Linked DNA regions of Macaca fascicularis. The protein of the gene in region 1 purifies or fractionates together with the protein of each later gene. This does not show direct contact. Links are inferred from orthologs where the notes say so. Each region holds a gene or a part of one and is shown in the gene's direction. Other genes may lie near its edges. The genes, in order: GP6 and LYN.

The links.
Region 2: the proteins of GP6 (region 1) and LYN purify together in Homo sapiens (affinity purification with western blotting; 5 studies listed by BioGRID and IntAct, with this or other methods). This does not show direct contact. The link is inferred for Macaca fascicularis from reciprocal best matches to the Homo sapiens genes GP6 and LYN.

The regions. Positions count from the first base shown.
Region 1 is NC_088393.1:62,910,618-62,914,906, reverse strand, and holds the start of GP6 (platelet glycoprotein VI), read left to right. Parts: upstream 1-1,427; 5' UTR 1,428-1,471; coding exon 1,472-1,505; intron 1,506-4,289.
Region 2 is NC_088382.1:65,848,421-65,852,675, forward strand, and holds the start of LYN (tyrosine-protein kinase Lyn), read left to right. Parts: upstream 1-1,226; 5' UTR 1,227-1,229; coding exon 1,230-1,556; intron 1,557-4,255. UniProt on the Homo sapiens protein: Non-receptor tyrosine-protein kinase that transmits signals from cell surface receptors and plays an important role in the regulation of innate and adaptive immune responses, hematopoiesis, responses to growth factors and cytokines, integrin signaling, but also responses to DNA damage and genotoxic agents.

The DNA.
Region 1 (4,289 bases):
ATGGGGTTTCACCATGTTAACCAGGCTGGTCTCGAACTCCTGATCTCAAGTGATCCACCCGCCTCAGCCTCCCAAAGTGCTGGGATTACAGGCGTGAGCCTGGCCGGGCGCGGTGGCTCAAGCCTGTAATCCCAGCACTTTGGGAGGCCGAGGCGGGTGGATCACGAGGTCAGGAGATCGAGACTATCCTGGCTAACATGGTGAAACCCCGTCTCTACTAAAAATACAAAAAACTAGCCGGGCGTGGTGGCGGGCGCCTGTAGTCTCAGCTACTTGGGAGGCTGAGGCGGGAGAATGGCGTGAACCCGGGAGGCGGAGCTTGCAGTGAGCCGAGATCACATGCCACTGCACTCCAGCCTGGGCGACAGAGCGAGACTCCGTCTCAAAAAAAAAAAATAAACAAAAAAAAAAAAAATAAATAAAATACAGGCGTGAGCCACCGCGCCCGGCTGATTTTTATTCTTTTAATGAAGGTTGGTTGATGTTACCTTGTCTGTATATACCGCACGTTGTTTATCCATTGTTGTTGATGAATATTTGGCTGGTTTCACCTCTTGGCTATTGTGAATAAAGCTGCTAGGAACACTGGTGTACAAATATGTTCGAGATCCTGTTTTCGATTCTTTTAGGTGTATACGCAGAAGTGGAATTGCTGGATTTTACGGCAATCCCACGTTTAACTTTTGGAGGAGCTGCTAAAACTGTTTTCCACAGCAGTGGCACCATGTTATGTCCCCGCCAGCAAGGCACGCGCAGTCCAACTTCTCTGCATACTCACCAACGTTTGCTGTTTTCCATTAAAAAAAATTATAGCTGGTCGGGCGCAGTGGCTCATGCCTGTAATCCCAGCCCTTTGGGAGGCCAATGTGGGCGGATCACCTGAAGTTCGGAGTTCAAGACCAGCCTGGCCAATGTGGTGAAACCCCATCTCTACTAAAAATACAAAAATTAGCCCAGCGTGGTGGTGCACACCTATAACCCCAGCCACTTGGGAGGCTGAGGCCGGAGAATCACTTGAACCAAGGAGGTGGAGGTTGTAGTGGGCCGAGATGGCGCCACTGCACTCCAGCCTGGGCAAAAAGAGCGAGACTCTGTCTGGGAAAAAAAAAAAAAAAAAATTATAGCCATCCCAGAAGTTGTGAAGTCATATCTCACTGTGGTTTTGATGAGTATTTTCCTAGCGACATCAGGGAGTTTATGGGAGCACGGGAACACAGGCCAGGCCCCAGCAGGCGGACGAACGGTGCAACGCCAGGCTGGCCAGAGGAGATAAGCGCGGCTCCTTGGAGCTTGTGTGCAAGTCACTGTCCTGGGGAGCCGGCTACGGCTCGATGAGTCTCAATTAGGAAAGGCCGGGGCTGGCGGAGGAAGGGAGGAGAGCATTCTTCATCCTCATCACATCCTGAGCCCGTGCCCAGGCTCCCACCACTTCCCTCCCGGGCCACAGAACCCAGGACAGGGCTGAGGAACCATGTCTCCATCCCCGACCACCCTCTTCTGTCTCGGTGAGTCCTGAGGGTCGATCTGGGAAGTGCTGAAAGACAGGCCTAGACTGCCAGACAAAGGATTTTTTAAGAAATTTGCATCGGTGATGAATTTCAGGACAAAAAGGGACCTATGAGAGCCCCTTCATTGGTTGGGTGGGGAAGCGGAGGGCCAGCGAGGTGGTGTATTTTGCCTGAGTTATTCCAGTGTATTCGTGGCTGGGTCAGGAAATGAACAGAGGTGTCCTAGCATTGGTCACAACTTTGTTCTACGACACTGCAGTTGCCCCTTTTTAAATAACTGTGGGCCAGGCACGGTGGCTCATGCCTGTAATCTCAACTTTGGGAGGCCAAGGTGGGTGGATCACCTGAGGTCAGGAGTTCACGACCAGCCTGGCCAACATGGCGAAACCCCGTCTCTACAAAAATTAGCCGGGCATGACGGGGCGGTGCCTGTAATCCCAGCTACTCGAGAGGCTGAGGTGGGAGAATTGCTTGAAACCGGGAGGCAGAAGTTGCAGTGAGCTGAGGTCAGGCATTGCACTCCAGCCTGGGCAACAGAGAGAGACTCCGTCTCAAAAAACCGCTGAGTGCCGTGGCTCACGCACTTTGGGAGACCGAGGCGGACGGATCACCTGAGGTTGGGAGTTGGAGACCAGCCTGACCAACATGGAGAAACCCCATCTCTACTGAAAATACAAAATTATCTGGGCGTGGTGGCGCATGCCTGTAATCCCAGCTACTCTGGAGGCTGAGGCAGGAGAATCGCTTGAATCTGGGAGGCGGAGGTTGCAGTGAGCCGAGATCACGCCATTACACTCCGGCCTGGGCAACAAGAGCAAAACTCCATCTCAAAAAAACAAACAAAAATTGTGGACTTGATGATATCTGGACTAGGTTATGGATTTAATTTGTCAGTATCCCCTACAGCAGTGGAGTAAATAAGAGTCTCCTGACCGATGGGTGGCAGGTCGAATGCATTTCCACTGCCTGCTCTTCACTTGTGCTGGGCATGTCGAATGCATTGTTTCCTGATTTCTTCAGGAGAATTTGACCACTAAAGGGACAGCATCTCCAAAAGGCTAAGCAGGAAGGAGATGGTTGTGTTACTGGAGATGAGAGGGTTAACTGTGAATATAAACAACCTCTCATTCATTATCCATCCACGGATGTATTCTTTAACTTTTTTTTTTTTTTTTTTTTTGAGATGGAGTCTCACTCTGTTGGTTGCTCAGGCTGGAGTGCAGTGGCACGATCTTGGCTCACTGCAAACTCTGCCTCCTGGGTCCAAGTGATTCTCCTGCTTCAGCCTCCGAAGTAGCTGGGATTACAGGCATCCACCGCCAGGTCCGGCTAATTTTTATATTTTTAGTAGAGACGGGGTTTCACCATGTTGACCAGGCTGGACTTGAACTCCTGACTTCAGGTGATCTACCCGCCTCGGCCTCCCAAAGTGCTGGGGTTACAGGCGTGAGCCACCGCATCCGGCCTGTTTTAACTTTTATTTATTTAATTTTACTTGAGACAGGGCCTCACTTCTGTCACCCAGGCTGGAGTGCAGTGGCATGATCATGGCTCACTCTAGCCTCAACCTCCCAGGCTCAACCAATCCTTCCCCATCAGTCTCCTGAGTAGCTGGAACTACAGTTGCACACCATCATGCCTGGCTCATTTTTGTAATTTTTGTAGTTATGGGGTCTCACTATGCTGCCCAGGCTGGTCTCGAACTCTTGGGTTCAAGCGATCCACCTACCTCGGCCTCCCACAGTGTTGGGGTTACAGGTTTGACCTGTACAGGTTACTGCATCTGGCTTAATTTTTGCTTCAATTGCTTTTGGGATACAAGTGGTTGTTGGTTACATGGATGAACTATATAGTGGTGAATTCTGAGATTTTAGTGCCCCTGTCACTTGAGTAGTATACCTTGTACCTAATGTGTAGTTTTTCATCCCTACCCACCTTCTGCCCTTCTCTTCTGAGTCTCTGAAGTCCATTACATCACCCTGTATGCCTTTGCATACCCACAGCTTAGCTCTCACTTGTAAGTGAGAACATACAGATTTTTGTTTTCCACTCCTGTGTTACTTTACTTAGAATAATGTCTCCAGCTACATCCAAGTTGCTGCAAGACATTTTTTTTTTTTTGAGCTGGAATCTCGCTGTTGCCGAGACTGGAGTACAGCAGCGTGATCTTGGCTCACTGCAACCTCCTCCTCCCGGGTTCAAGCAATTCTCCTGCCTCAGCCTCCCGAGTAGCTGGGACTACAGGCGCCGTCACCACGCCCGGCTAATTTTTGTATTTTTAGTAGAGACGGGTTTCACCATGTTAGCCAGGATGGTCTTGATCTCTTGACCTCATGATCCACCCGCCTCGGCCTCCCAGAGTGCTGGCATTACAGGTGTGAGCCACTGTGCCTGGCCAAAGGACATTATTTTGTTCCTTTTAATGGCTGAGTAGTATTCCACACTCATTTATTTTTACTTATTTTTTGACACAGAGTCTCACTCTGTCGCCCAGGCTGGAGTGCAGTGGTGTGATGTCAGCTCACTGCAACCTCCATCTCCCAGGTTCAAGTGATTCTCCTGCCTCAGCCTCCTGAGTAGCTGGGATTACAGGCTCCTACCACTACGCCCAGCTTATTTTTGTACTTTTACTAGAGACAGGGCTTCCCATGTTGGTCAGGCTGGTCTTTAACTCCTGACTTCAGGTGATCCACCCGCCTTGGCTTCCCAAAATGCTGGGATTACAGGTGTGAGCCACTGCGCCTGGCCAGTGAGAACTTTAAAACCTACTCTCAGTGATAT
Region 2 (4,255 bases), on another chromosome or scaffold:
TTTTTTTTTTTTTTTTTTTCATTTTTCCATTTTTCTCCATAGGATTCTTGACAGGTTTCAATCACACACCTTCCCATGGGTAACCCACCCCTTCTCTTCAGCAGTAAACTAACGACTACCTACCAGTGAACATCACAGGTATAAACCACCTTTCTTTTTTTCTTTTAAGGAATTAGTATGCAAACTTTAGTACTCCTTTCCTAGTAACAAATGACTGCTGTATCAGACTGTGTCACAAGGCAGCTGCTTTGACTTATTGCTCTGTAGCTGGGGCCAGCCTCTTCAGAACATTGTTAATGAGAGAAAGGAAGTGCTTTGGGCAGTGTCTGGCCCATCAGGCCCTCTGTAAATGTTTGCTATTAATGCAAAGACCAAGTCTCCCACAGTGTCCAATTTGTTTCCTTGTAAATTTTTCAAGGTACTGCAATGCTGGGATCCCAGTGAACATAATCTGGCGTAGAAGTGGGTATCCACTGACCGAGCCTAATCTTACATCTTGGATTTGTAAGTGGCATTTATTGAGTTGAACATGAGCTTAAGCACGCGGTCACACATTCTTTCAGCGAACACTGGTCAGGCACCTGCTACGTGCAAGCACTGCCCTACATGCTGGGATGCAGCTGTAGCAGGAATGAAATAACGCCAGCATTCCTGCATGCGGCCAGTGCGTGCCCTGTACAGAAAGGTACACGAGATAGGCATCCTTACATCCATTGTCCTGGGAGGAAACTGAGGCTTTGAGAAACGGAGAATCTGCCGGGCCCGTTGACTCCATGTCATCCCCTTCCACATCAATGCCCTGAACAGCCTCCTGTACACCCTTAAGGAACTTACTTCGTAATGATTACTAAGAACTCAACGAGACCCCGAGCATCACCTCGGCATATCGCGCGCGTCCTTTCTCTAGAGAACCCCAAATGTTGGAAGGCATCAGAGCGCACCTCCTCCGCTCCCGGGAGCACCCCCTTCCTGACACCTTGGGGATGGGTCGGAAGGAAAGGAAAGGAGACGCGAGAGGTATCGTCGATGTGCCTGCGAAGCCCAGGCTCCTCCGGAGATCGTTCCGTCCGTCCCTACAGTAGAAGGCTGGCCCAGGCTGTTCCACTCCCCGGAGCTGCCGACTGAGTCGCCAGGTTTCTGTGCCTTCAAAGCCCTGCGCGACGGCCACACCAAACACCCAAACCTTGGGCAGGGACCAAACGGTCACTTCCCCGCCCTCCGGGCTCAATATGCAAATCCGAGCACCAGGAAGTAGCTGGGACCTCTCGACCGAGCCCAGAGACAGCCAGTTCCTCTCCCGCCGCGCCGGGCCGCGCTGCCGCTCGCTCCCCGGCCGTGGCGCCTCCGGGCCCGACGCGCTGCAGCCTCCAGCCCGCGGCAAGCGGGGCGGCCGCGCCAACCCCGGCCCCGCGCCAGCAGCCCCTCGCCGCGCGTCCCGCGTTCCCGGCCAGCAGCCTCCCCCTACGCAGGTCCTGCTGGGCCGCCCCGTCGCGCCCCCTGCTCTGAACTCAAGTCACCGTGGAGCTCCGCCACCCCGAAACTTTCACCGCGAGCGGGTGAGTCCTCTGCGCGAACCCAAGTGTGGGCGCGGGCGCGCGGGCACGCGGGCCGGGGGTGCAGGGACCGCGGCTGTGCCACTAGCCAGAGTCCCGGGCGCAGGGTCGACTCGGGGCCAGGGGCATCGGCGCGGCCCGCGGCGGCTTCCTGGCCGCACAGCCTCCGGGCCTCGGCGGCGAAGGCTCTCAGATGTCTTCAGCCGGCGGGCGACCGGCCCCGGGGGAGCCAGGGTGCGGGGACCGAGGCTCCGCAGGTGTCAGCGGCTGAGCCGCGCAGGGGAGCGGTGGGAGGTGCGGGCGCGGGGGCGGGCTCACCGCGGGTCCTTCCCGGCGAGGGCCCGAGGGCCGGCTGCTGTCCCCGCTCCGGCCGCTCAGCGCGCACGGCGGCGAAGCCCGTGCCCTTGCGGAGCGGGCGCGCGGCAGGGATACTGGAGACAACTCCTCGGATTGTGCGATCTGGTCTCCCCTCTGGACCCTGGGTCCCCTGGAAGTGGGAGATGGGGCTCCGCCGGCGCCCTCTCGAGGCCCGCGGACAGCTGCCCTCCCTGGTGGCCCGGGGCAGGAGCGTGACGTCGAGGGTCTGCGGCGGAGGCTGGAGCTCACCCTCCCGCTGCGGCGCCTTTCGGCCTGCGGAGGAGCAGTCCGGTGCTTTTGCCGGCTGAGAGGAAGCGAGAGTTATTTTAAGAATTCAGGGGTTGCCTTTCCTTCGCCTTGGGGGAAGGGCGTAAGAGTCACTTCCCACTTTCCTGCTTTCTCTGGGCCCATGGTGGCATCTTTTGCTTGCGGTGCATTCGTAACTTTCCAACAGCCTGCCTGTCGTGTGAACTAGTGGTTGTATCTTCATTTCTTTGTATAACCGTGTGTGTTAATTATCCCAAATTCGCCCTTCTTCGCCGGCTCAGAATCCAGGCCTTGCACTTTTCTGGCTGTATATTTAGGGGACCGATTATTGAAATTCCCTGTTTGGGTTTCTTCATCTTTGAGAAAGCATATATACCTCAGGGACTGTTTAGTACACACAGAGCCCCTAGTACATACCAAACATTTCATAAACGATGTTACTGTTATTTATTGCAGTGACTTCTATTCATATAAACGAGGCTTCTTGGTTCTTTGCAGCCTGGTGATATTGAACCTAAGACTACCATGTCTGATTTAGCCATCTGACCTTATTAGTAAATCTGCTTAATAAATACATGAGGGATTTGCTGTCCCAAAGCAGGGCCCAGTAGTCTGACTTGCCCTAAAGAACTAGCCAATAAACTGGTGGGCTACAGGGATGTTTTCTCTCTACAGCCAACACCTAAAGCCATGCCCTGGGGAATAGGCACTGCAAGAGCCTAGACCTTACTAAGCCCTTCTCTGTAAGAGTAAGCTTTGTTGGGAAAGGGTGGGATCCAGTTAGTCCCTCCATTCTCATTTGGAGGTAAGCAGGTAAGTGCTTTCAGGCCTGAAGAAATTTCATTAGATCATAGAGTCTTTGGTGACTGGGTCTCTTTGGATGTAAATGTGTGGCCCTTTTGCTGAGTGAAGGATAGAGGGCAGCAGATGTAAGGGGAGAGAAAATAGGAGCGAGGAAACTTGGGTTTTGGCCTCTTCCATCATTTAATATGCTGTGATTTGGGATAAACCACTTGGGTCATTTATTTAGCCAACATTTCCTTTATAGCAGCAGTCAGAGTTATATTGATTTGTCTGCAGGTTGATAGTCTGTATTCACTATTACAGTGGAAGCTCCATGAAAACCGCTTCATCTGTCTTGTCCAAAATGATAGCCCCAGTGCCTGGTACATAGTAGGTGCTCAGTTCGAGATTAGTTGGAAGAAGGAATGAAGGGCTCCTGTGAGCTTGCCCTATGTAAAACTGAGGACATAGGGAGATGAAGAAATAGAGCTGGTCCCTAAAGTGTTTGAAGCCTACTGGCCCTTTCTGTTGTGGTTTCTAAAACGGGGATTTGAGAGGCTTTGTTGATTGTAAAGTTACCCAGCACTGAGTTATCCACATTTAGTGTTCTAAATGAGTCTCCACTCAGCACCGCTCTTCTCTACTTATCACTGGAAGAGAAGTCTTGATGTGGGGTGGTTAAGATGTTTCCTGCAAAGGTAGTTGGCCCAATCCAGAAGGCCCACATTATTTTAGAGTCATTGGTGTTACCAAGGTAGGTGGAAACTTTGTAATCCCGCCCCGGCCCCACCCCTCCAATAGCTTTCTTTTAGCAGAAAAGTGGTCCAGCACTGTTCAATGACTTTGAAAGCCTTTTACTTCTATCTGTAGTATTTGTTTTTAGAAATAAATCACCAAAAACAGCTGAGATTCCAGTTGGTTCACATGACTATGTGGAGTTGTAACTTAACAAAATTAAATCATATTATTCATGTACAAACCCATACTAACTTTATAAATAAGGATACAATGTATACATGCCCACAGCAGGGAACGTCGTTATAAGCTCACTCCTACTGATGATCTCAGTGATGCATGGATGAGTGTTAACATTGAAAGGCCACCACAATCATTAGTCAGGACATTGATCAATGTCATGTTGACAGCAGAGATAGCCTCAGACCTTTTCTGGCTCTTCCTAGCGATGATGGTGAAAGTGTTAGCACCTTTCATTAGTTCAGGGCTCTGAAGTCTTCCTGAACTCGAATTTCATTTGAACCTCTTGTGGCTCCTATAGGATGGAGAAGGACAGATAA